2 linked regions of the Caenorhabditis elegans genome follow. The protein of the gene in region 1 purifies or fractionates together with the protein of each later gene. This does not show direct contact. Each region holds a gene or a part of one and is shown on either strand. Other genes may lie near its edges.

Region 1 (4,962 bases):
TGATTTTGGCGCTACAGTAATCCGGATTACATTTATTTTTTGATTTTCCACATTTTCTGCGCATTATCAGCACGGTAATCAACAAATTTTTGCGATTTTCCAAATGTTTCACTCAAATTTTAACATTTTTATGCGAAATTGCGTAAGATCCAGTGTATCGGGGTACTGCAGCACGGTGTTTGCGTACTTTTGAAGCTACCGTAACTCGAAAATGTGGAAATTGAGCTAGAAGTGTCTAGTTTTGTGAGTTTCGACTCAAATTTGACCAGGAAATCGGGTTTGTGCTCAAAAACTGACGAAAAAAGAGATTTTCATGAATTTTGGGCAGTTTATCAGGAAATGTCGTAATTTTATTTTTTTTTTCCAGAATCTTCCATGATTTTTCGCCTTTTTTGCAAGAAAAATCTTGTAAAAACGCAATTTTCGGATTTTTTTCTAGAATTTCTGGGTTTTGTGCAATATTGCGTAAAATCCAGTGTATCGGGGTACTGCAGCACGGTGTTTGCGTACTTTTGAAGCTACCGTTACCCGAAAATGTGGAAATTGAGCTAGAAGTGCCTAGTTTTGTGAGTTTCGGCTTAAATTTAGTGAAAAATTCGATTTTGAGCTCAAAATTTAAATTTTTCATGATTTTTGGGCCATTTTTCCTAAATTTTTACCTATCTCCAACCGGAGAATTCAAATAAGCGGCAATCAAAATGGTCATTGCAAAATGTTCATCTCCCATCGAATATTGCTCATAATTTTTCAGCAAATTCTCGTAAAATGGCATAAAAGCGTCCAATCCGGCGACTTTTCCGCTCATTCGGAGTCCAATTTTCGCGTCTTTTGCCGCAGCCAAAATATATCCGTTTAAAATGCGATGAGCACACTCTGCGATGACGTCATCCGCCAGAATTTCTGCTCCAATCAGAAAAACTTCCGCGATGTGAACGTAGAATTCGTTGGGTTCGGCGAACGCGAAAAACGCGGATTTTCGTTCAGAAAACAGCAAGAGAGTCCAGAGAAGCGAGAGACGGACGATTTCCACGTCATCTGGGGTTACTGTACCGTGGCGGCGTTCGACTGCGTCAAGGACACGGCGAACTGGGATAAGTGTCCAGCAATTGTCTAAAATTGGGTTAAGACCCTTGCCGAACTCGTAGATTATCGATTTTGAGGAGGAATCCTGGAAAAAATTGATTTTTGAGAGGTAATTTAGCGATTTTTAGCAGAATTTATGGGATTTTTCTGAAATTTTTTTTTTAATATCCTGACAAAAATAGAGATTTTTCAAAGAAAATTTCAATTTTTTATAAAAAAAAAGAGAAAATCTGTGTTTTTTTTTTGTTGGTAAATTATCGATTATCCTGGGTTTTTTCTCCAAAAAATCAATAAAATATTACTGTAGCAATTTCCTCCAAATAAAGTGTCTTAATTTGATCGATTGATGAGCGTGCCAGTTCCAGAATTGGGTCGGGTGTGCTGAAAATTAGAAATTTTAAGTTTTTCGGGGTTACTGTAGCTTCAAAAATACGCAAACACCGGATATTACGAAATTTTGCACTAAAATCAGATTTTCTTTGAATTTTTGGGTTACTGTAGCTTCAAAATTAGGCAAACATCGGATTTTACGAACTTTTACACGGAATTTTGACTTTTTTAAATTTTCGTGGTTACTGTAGCTCCAGGAGTACGCAAAAAACGGATGTTACGAAATTTTGCACTAAACTTCGATTTTTCTGAATTTTTGGGTTACTGTAGGTTCAAAAATACGCAAACATCGGATTTTACGAAAGTTTGCAGTAAAAATCAAAAAAAAAAGGTTTCTGGTGTGAAAAAACATGGGAACCCCGCATTTTAAGTTAAAACTTCTCAGAGAACCCAATTTTTGGCATGTTTTCACTGAAATTTTTCGAATTTTCCGGGTTACTGTAGCTTCAAAAGTACGCAAGCACAATTTACCTTCCCGCAGAGGTTTCCGGTCGTAATTTGCAGTTATCGAAGAGTTTTACGGCGTTTTTTTGCTGTCGAGAGACCAAATTTCGGCCGAATTTCGCGGTTAGATCCAGTTGAACAGCGTCCTGAAATTTCTCAGATTTTCCATTTTTCACGGAAAAAAAATTTAAGCCGAAAATTTCAAAAATGTCAATTATTTTCCAGAAAACCTATAATTTTTCAGAAAAAAATCGATAATTTTCAAATTTTACCGTCGCCAGTCGATTATATTTCTCCTGATCCTCTCGATTTCCATATTCTTCCAAAACTTCCAACTCATTCATCATTTCCTCCACAACTTTTGTAGGCGGAGCTTGAGCCGGTGGCTCCGGAGCACCTTTTTGCTCATTTTCCGGCTCTTTTTGCTGCCGAGAAGCCTTGAATTTGCTGATTTTTTTGGGCTTTTTTTGAGTTTCCTCCGAGGCTTTATTTCCTCGATTTTTCAAAAATTCCAGCAATTTCGGATCGAATCTCTCGGTAATTTCCAGCTTCATTTCTTGAATTTTCTCAAAATCCAGAGATTTCAAATATTTCTCGTTTTCAGCTTGAAAATCGTCACTTCCCGATGGATTTTCAGTGGTTTCCTGCTTAAAATCCAGATTTTCCGCCAAATTTCCATTGATCCGGTCGAATTCCGCGGCGAAAAAGCTCTTTCCGCCTAAATTCGTCAGAGTTTTTGGATTTTCCGCCGAAAAATACGCAGAAAGATCCAGCGGCTCGGGGAATCCGTCATCTTTCGAGTATAATTGGAATTTCTGAAGATTTTCCGCCAAAATCTCCGATCTTTCCGCGAAATTTCGCTCTTTAACTGGGAAAAGCACGCCGGAAGCGGCCTGCTCCTCATCAAAATCGATTTGAAAACGGGCGGCCTGATCGCGGACGACTTTCGACGGCAATGAAGCAACTTCCTCGACTTTCTGCCGATTTTTCATCTTATGAATCTCGACACTCGGTTTTTTGTTCGCCGCCTCCCATTCTTCCTGCATTTTGAGCAGATCATCGTCGGTTTCCGTCGCCGTAGGACGTTTTACGTGTTCTGACATTTCTGAAAATCTAAATTTTATCGATTTCTTACGAAAAAATGCTGAAAAACACCCGTTTTTATCGATTTTTCCATTACAATCGGTAAAAAACCTGATATTTCAAAAGTTTGCGCGTCAAGTCTGTCGCCGGGTACGCAGACACACCATCACGTCAGATTGCACATTTTGAGAAAGAATTCTTCAAAAATGGGGAATTTTCGATTAAAAATCGCTATCATGTCTATAAAAATTGGAAGTTTTCACGATTCTAACGTAAAATTACTGGAAAATCTAAATCTCAACGATTTTTCGATAAAAAAAAATTCAAAAATAACACCGAAACACTGGATCGGACTTAGTATGAGCTGAAGAATATTTTAAAATAGAACTTTTATTGACGCAATGAAATTTTAACGATATACAGCACTAAATAGAAAAAAATCTTTTGCAATAAGACCGGCTTTATGTGAAATTGAATAAATTTGAAATGGAAAATCGATCAATCTGCCCAAGTATCAGTGGATGTAGACGGCTGCTGGCACGGCTCAGGAAGTTGGAAAATTTCTCGCATTTCCTCGGCGCTTTTCCCATTGATACGACTGGCGACTGTTTGGGTTCCATAATTCACGAGTCCGGTAATATCCAAATCATAGGCAGCTTTAATAACAGCTAGCAAGTTTCCCATCGGCAGTACACTGAAAAAATGTTGATCCCAGGACGGAATGACGACTTTCTTTTTGCCTTTTTCGGCTTTTGCAATCTCTGGATCGTCTCCCTTGTGTTGATCACACCATTTAATCAGTAGATCCAATGTGTATTCATGTTCATCAACAGGTATCGGCTTAATCTCCGCACAGTCTTCTTTATCATATCCTAGCTCTTTGATAGTTGTAGAAATAGTGCTGGAGAGCTGGAGAGCACGGATATCTGCCTGCAGCACCTCTCCATTGGAAGAAGCCAGTTGAAGTAGGCGAGGTGGTGCGCTTGGAGGAGCCGGCTTTGGAGCACTAAAAAAAGCGCGATTTCTGATTTTTTGAGAAAAAATTGCTGAAAAATAAAAAATTTTTAATGATTTTTCAATGAAAATTGGGAAAAATGCTATCAAAATACCTGGCTGGTGCACGTTTTTTATTGTTTTTCTTGTTCTTCGGCATCTGCTTTCTGGCCCAAATTTGATGTCTGAAATACACAAAATATAGGTTTTTTTAAAGTTTTTGTGTGAAAATTCGAAAATTTTCGATTGAAAATCGATATTTCAGCAATCAAAATTGGTAAATTTCCCGAAAATTGCTTAAGAAATCCTGTTTTTATCGCTTTTTCGCTAAAAACGTTTTTAAAATCGAAAAAAAAAATATTTCGAAAGTTTGTGCGTCAAGTTTGGCGCCGGGTACGCAGACACACCATCACGTCAGATTGCACACTTTCCAGATTTTTTTTGAAAAAAAAGTAATTTTCGAATAAAAATCGATGTTTAAGCTATTTTTTTTAACAAAATAATAAATCTAGATGCAATTTATTCAACAAAAAACCCTATTTAAACATAACAATCACCAGAAAACAAGAAATTATCGATTATCAATCAAAACATGGGTAGTTTTCGGTCGCCGCTTGTTCTCCACATACAAGAACCGCCACTGCCAATCTCCGTCTCGTTGCTCCATTTCAGCTTGAGCAATTCCCTCATCTCGGTCTCCTTTCACGTGGAAAAGCACCCGAATCCGCTGCATTCCGTCCTTCTCGTACTTGTGATGTGCCACGTGGCGGCGGCGTCCACGTGACGTTTCCTCGCCGAATCCGGCGATTGAGGCGCCGAATATTTCCTGACAACGGCCATCATCACGTACCAATGCGAGAGCTCTGCAAAAAATATTTGATTTAAATTGGTTTTTCCCGGAAAAAAGTGAAAAACCAACTTATTGAAAATTGTCTGCGGGGAATCTTGAGCGAAAAATTCCCCGGCGAG
Region 2 (6,317 bases), 8.2 Mb from region 1:
AAAAACAAAATGGTTTCTGTTGAAGTGAAGAACGACTTCGAAGAGAAATTCCGACTTCTCTGTGAGCTGAAATCTGTTGAGGTTTGTGTTTTTTATATTTTTAGCACAAAAATGAATTAGTGGACATAAGGGAGAATAGATGTCATATTTCAGAAAGAAACATTTGAAAAACAAGAAGAAAAGAAAGGTGACGAATATGAGAAGGAGTTGAACAAATTCTTCCGACAGCGGACTGAAAAATTAGAAATCGAGCAGAAACTGAAAGATCCAAAACTTGACAAAGCCACTAGTGACGAATTGAAAAAACAATGGCAGGAGCGAATAAATCGCATCAAGAAGTATATTGAGGCATCAGATGACAAATTGAAAGGATATGATAATCACACCCAGAAGATTGTTAAGAAGATTCATACAAATCGAATGACCGATTAAATTATTTGGACAAAATATTAAAATGTATGTAAAACCATTCAAAATTGTATTAATTAGTTGTATTCATTTCATTTGGAAAATAAAAATGCATAGTTTATTTTTGTCATTTTAAAGAAAGTAAATATTAATTTCAAATTCAATATGGAAATTATACAATCATTGAAGCATGCATTTCAGAATGAAAACAAGCTTTTAGATAAATTATCATAGAATACCAATTAATTTCATGTTCTGATGAAGGAATAATATTTTCTGATTAGTTTGATCTTCACAGCCAATTTGATGCTCGAAAAGTAGATTCTTAGCGGAAGTAAGATTTTCAGTATTCAACAAAGCACCCGGTAGGCATAATACAATTGAAGAGAGTTGGAATAAAAGAGGATATCTAGTTCGATTTTCTGCTTTTTGCCAAAACACTATAGGCTCCTCAAATGCAATGTTTGGCTCCGAAATCCATCGTTCTAGCTCCTGAATAATATCAATTAATGTTCGAAAATATTCACTGAAAGAAACATACTGTCTTAGCCATTGCTTGTGGGCTCACGATCTCTCCCTCTTTACAAGAATTCTGATAATTTTCTCCGTGTAATTTTTTGAACAACTCTGCGAATAGATCATAATTGCTTTGAACATCAGTTTTACAATGCTGGTTGTGAGTAATTGCAACATCTTTTACGTCTTCTGCATTCCTTATATTTTGTGCAATTTTTTCAAGTTTCTTCTGCACAATTTCCTTTGCTGTCGCAGGCAGTAATAATAACTGCAAAATAATTTTTTATAAACAACAAAATGTGCAGTTTTTAGTTTCAACATTACTTTTAAAAAGTAGATACTTTTAAAACTGTATTTTGAAACTCTCTAAAAAAAAGTTTTGGTATATTGGCAAATTTCGTGTCTGGTGATTAAATTAAAATTAAATAATTACATGTTTTTACTGTTTGAAGCCACTTCTATCTACAGTGCGTCCAACTTCTATAGCACCCCCCTCCAATTCGGCCGTTTGGAGCTTTTCAAAATATTTTTTGGAAAAGTGTTAGTGCAGTTCGATAGCAAATGTTGAAAAACCTTTGCTCCCCAATTTTTATCATGATATCTCAAAAATCACGGAAATTAGGTCAAAATATCTGAAAAATGGCCGTCCAACTTCTATAGCACCCCCTCTGATTTTTGACAAATTTCTGTAAATTCGGGGTTTTCTTCGTAGTTAATGAATTTATTTTGTAAATCACACCAAAATAATCAGGTGGTTTCACTTTCACATTTAAAAAATAAATATAACCCTTGGAAACACGTGGAATGCCTGGGATTGTCCTGGAACATACTTATTTGCTTCAGAGGCCATATCTCGGCTCCCAATGATTTTCGCAGCACCAAAATTGATCAAAATGTTCTTCTCCGTCTATTCATTACTATGTAATTAGTTGTAGAAAGCATTTATTCATATGAACCAAATGGTAAAGGGAGCAACTTCAGTGGTTTTTAAAAGGTTCGTTTTAACCATGAAAACAAGCGTTCGGAGGCGCAGAGATAATGGTTGGGTATACATTTTTGACTAAAAATTACTACATTATAGGTAAAATTAAAAATTATTTTACATGAACAACAAATCCGTGGAAATCCATGGGTAAATCAGATGCCAGACATCTACAATCGCAGGTTCAATGTTTTGTCTGGTAGCTTTTGCATTACTTGACCAAAAAAAGATTCAATGAGCAAATTCGCTAAATTTAACTTGAGTTATAAATACAACTAGCAAAATCGTCATTCGGAAAGGTATATCTTACTTTTCTGTCTAAAATTTTCGCATGTTAGCTTGAAAAAAAGACTTGCGGCCTCGCTTTGCCTTTGTCCTCTTTTTTGAGCGGTCTCGTGAACTCGTCCAAATAAAATTTCAAAGACTTCTAATCAAAATCGAAGCTTCAAAGATATTTAAATCATATGAGCTGAAATTCTGTACCATACAAAGTCAAAACCTTCAGCTCTGCGCCTGCGAACGCTCGTTTTCATGGTTAAAACGAACCTTTTAAAAACCACTGAAGTTGCTCCCTTTACCATTTGGTTCATATGAATAAATGCTTTCTACAACTAATTACATAGTAATGAATAGACGGAGAAGAACATTTTGATCAATTTTGGTGCTGCGAAAATCATTGGGAGCCGAGATATGGCCTCTGAAGCAAATAAGTATGTTCCAGGACAATCCCAGGCATTCCACGTGTTTTCAAGGGTTATATTTATTTTTTAAATGTGAAAGTGAAACCACCTGATTATTTTGGTGTGATTTACAAAATAAATTCATTAACTACGAAGAAAACCCCCGAATTTACAGAAATTTGTCAAAAATCAGATGGGGTGCTATAGAAGTTGGACGGCCATTTTTCAGATATTTTGACCTAATTTCCGTGATTTTTGAGATATCATGATAAAAATTGGGGAGCATAGGTTTTTCAACATTTGCTATCGAACTGCACTAACACTTTTCCAAAAAAAATATTTTGAAAAGCTCCAAACGGCCGAATTGGAGGGGGGTGCTATAGAAGTTGGACGCACTGTATTAAAATTTTTTGAAATTTTGGCAAGGACCTCAACCTGCATGTTAAATAGTTTTAAACAAAACTAACCTTTACTCTTGGATCGATAACAGTTGCAAACAAAAGTGTCGGAATTTGGAGATATCTTTTCAATTCTTCTTCAAGTGTCAATTTGATAGCCTTGCACATATCATATGAGTGTTCTGCCGAGTACTTTGAAATCAATGCAGAAATTAAGGAAATTATTGCAGAAATCCGGAATGTGTGTTGCTGTAACATCAATTTGAAAGGATATATTTTAATCATAAACTAACTTTTCCAAAATCGACGGCAGTTTTCAAGGGAGACAGTGTTCTCAGGATAATCTCCATAAGATCGTAATCTTGTTGATAGAGCATCAGGCCTTCCATGTCATTCATCAAAAATGTATCGAGTAGTCCTTTCAACTTAGTGAACTGCTCAAACATACTAACGACAGTAATCCAATTCAACTTGCCGGATTTGACAAGATCAGCTGAATCGATGGTCATATATTCTCCAATTAAACTCGTTTCATATACTGCCGATTCGTTGATTTTTTGAACGATTTTCTTGCATTTTTCAATAAGTTCAGTTCCTCCTGGAATTGTGTTAATTCCTGAAATAGAGGCAAGTGAGAGACTATTCCATGTACAATCGTATATATCAAATTCTAGCAATTGAGCAGAAAGCTTCAAGTTTGAGACTCCATCTTTAATCATTGCCACAACTTTGTTTCCGATTGAATAATAATCCGTAATGGATTTGATTGCATTTTCAATCTCCAATTCAGGATCTTCATGAGGATCAGAAATATGTATAGCATCCAGAAACCTTGTAACAATTGATCCATCAGAATTCATAAAATGACAGCTGATTCCAACAACTTGTTCATTTTTTCTATCGTCTTTGTTCCATGAATAGCATCCTAGTCCAACATATTCCACATTTCGGAGTTCTTCTCTCAGACGTTGCTCGTATTTGAAATGAAGACTATGTACCATTACGTTCATTTGATTTTTTCCTTTTGGCACAAATGTAGGACACACTTCATTCAGAAAGTGTTGTATTCCAGGACGTTCTAATGTTGAGAGTGGCATTGCATCAAGACATATCATATTTATCAGTGCATCATTGATTCGTTTTTCCTCAAAATCTTCTGCTGTCCAGTTGATAAAATCTCCTTCAGTTCCAGATTTATTCTCTGGAATTCGCCATTCCTCGCCTAACTTTCGCTTTTTCAATGGCTGAACTTCAAGACTTCCACCAATTTCAAGAAGTGTATCCGGATGATTTGCTCTTAAGTGATACAATATTCCACTTGTACCTTGAAATCGTAGAGTTAATAATCGAAGATATAAAATGACTCACTTGATTTCTTTTGTTTCTTTATTGGATGTCCACAAACAGTTTTGTTATCACCGGAACCAATCAAAATCTTGCACAATCGAGTTCCATCAACGAGTGGTGTAAAATAATCGTCATATTTTAAGTTCACCATTATTTTGATCTGAAAAATTGTGTGTCTTAAGGATAAATTGAAATGCGTGGTCGTCATAACATATGGTTAGACCAAAAACGCTCCAGAACATGCCATTTTGACGTGGGAGCTCTGAAAATGCACAAACTAACAGCAAATAACATGAGAAACTCGAAAAATTTACTTTCGAGCTGATCCGAACACAAAATATGTCTTAACGATAAATGGAAATGCCCCAATTTTTTGCCTCGATCATTCAAAAATTTCCTGTCAAATATTTTAAACTTATAGAATTCTTGCATCATATCTCTACAATAATTGAATACATATAAGTAAAAAAATTGAAATTATTTTAAAAACATCTAGTCGACTTGCAAAATAGTAAATACCTTCAGGCAGTGGATAAAACATTTCAAAAAGTTCCTGAGAAGTTTCATTACTATATTTGGGTCCTGAAATTAATTTCGAACACTTTGGCGCTACTCTACATTTAATAATTGGAAGTAATTTCGAAAATGGACATTTTTTTCAAAATCATTTACGAATAAAGCAAAACAATTTTGACGACATCGGTTTTTCAACATGCCCAAAATTGTTGAGACAAAAAATTCGATTCTACAAAAAATCATTTCTATCTATTCCGTCAAACACATAATAAGCTGAGAAAAAATTAGATAACTTTAACTAAAAATGCCGTCAATTAAAAAAAAAATTTGAAAACATTTACATCGTAAAAATGAAGACGTTTAAAAAGACATTAGCGATAGAAACTAAAACTAGTACGATAATATCTGTTTAATCGTAAATTCAAAGGCAAGTGGTGTGAAGTCTTGAACTATTTTGAAAGTTTACGGGCACAAATTTTATCATTTTAATTTTACAACTAAAATAAACCTTGCAATGCATTTTTATTACAAAATCTATTATACGTATTACGAGTTAGGTTTTACGATAAACTTACAAAAAATCGAGCAAAAAACCAATAAATTTCTGGTCGATGAAATGTCGTGTAAAGGCGAGTCGTAAAATGCAGTGCCTTTGTTTCTCTTTTTCTCTTCTCTCTCGTTCTGACGAGGCATTGGTCTTCTCCAGCCGTCCTCTTTTTTTCTCTTTTTCCGACTCGTTATTTGTTGACATCTCTCGTGTGCGTCTGTGTGTATGTGTCTGAGTGTGTCGAAAAAATACGCGTTTCTCTTTCTGTTTTCAATGCAAAACGGCAAGACGGAAAATACGTTTTTTTTGGGTTTCTGAACTAAATGTTGGGGGGAAAGTAACCAGAAAATCATTTATTCGGATAGATTTTAAATTTCAGTATATCTAGTAAAATTGGAAAGAAGAAGAAAACTATTTTTTGCAACTTTTGCTGAACGGAAAAAAAACCAACTGAGGAAAATTTTTTTGCGAAAAATAACAGTACCTGCATGGTCTCGTACCTTTAATGAGTACTATATATACTGATCTCCGTTTTACATCTGAAATGCATCAGTAAGAGAACAAAAAACCAGAGTGCGTAAAATGTTTAACTTTATTTGGTTTGAGAGCATTTCATATTGGAGGAACATTAGGGATGAAATTGAAAGTTAAGGTGTTTTTAAATAGATTTTTTCTCATCCATAATAATCTATAGTATTTTAAGCCACAGAGAAATGTATCATGGAAAGAAAATTGCTTCCTTCAAAATGCATATGCTGGCCTTAAGTTTTGGACATTAAGTAAATTCATTGTAGACATAAAGCAGCAAGGAAAAATGGGTGGATTTTGGAGTTATAAGCGCGGTTATTTAAATGAGATTATTCACAGTTGAAAGTTCGCCAGTGCGAATTTTTTTTTCAGATGAATTGCTTCGTTTTTTCTTT

The links.
Region 2: the proteins of F56B3.4 (region 1) and C53D6.6 fractionate together in Caenorhabditis elegans (co-fractionation; one large-scale study listed by BioGRID). This does not show direct contact.

The regions. Positions count from the first base shown.
Region 1 is NC_003282.8:791,254-796,215, forward strand, and holds the start of F56B3.4 (RNA polymerase II-associated protein 1 N-terminal domain-containing protein), read right to left. Parts: upstream 3,023-4,962; 5' UTR 3,021-3,022; coding exon 2,190-3,020; intron 2,064-2,189; coding exon 1,945-2,063; intron 1,465-1,944; coding exon 1,386-1,464; intron 1,169-1,385; coding exon 660-1,168; intron 1-659. Other genes in the region: skr-18 (Skp1-related protein), read right to left, coding at 3,499-4,006, 4,110-4,153; F56B3.11 (Mitochondrial import inner membrane translocase subunit Tim21), read right to left, coding at 4,565-4,856, 4,913-4,962.
Region 2 is NC_003282.8:9,027,165-9,033,481, forward strand, and holds C53D6.6 (HAT C-terminal dimerization domain-containing protein), read right to left. Parts: upstream 4,492-6,317; 5' UTR 4,483-4,491; coding exon 4,353-4,482; intron 4,309-4,352; coding exon 3,278-4,308; intron 3,234-3,277; coding exon 3,054-3,233; intron 1,193-3,053; coding exon 950-1,192; intron 901-949; coding exon 637-900; 3' UTR 516-636; downstream 1-515.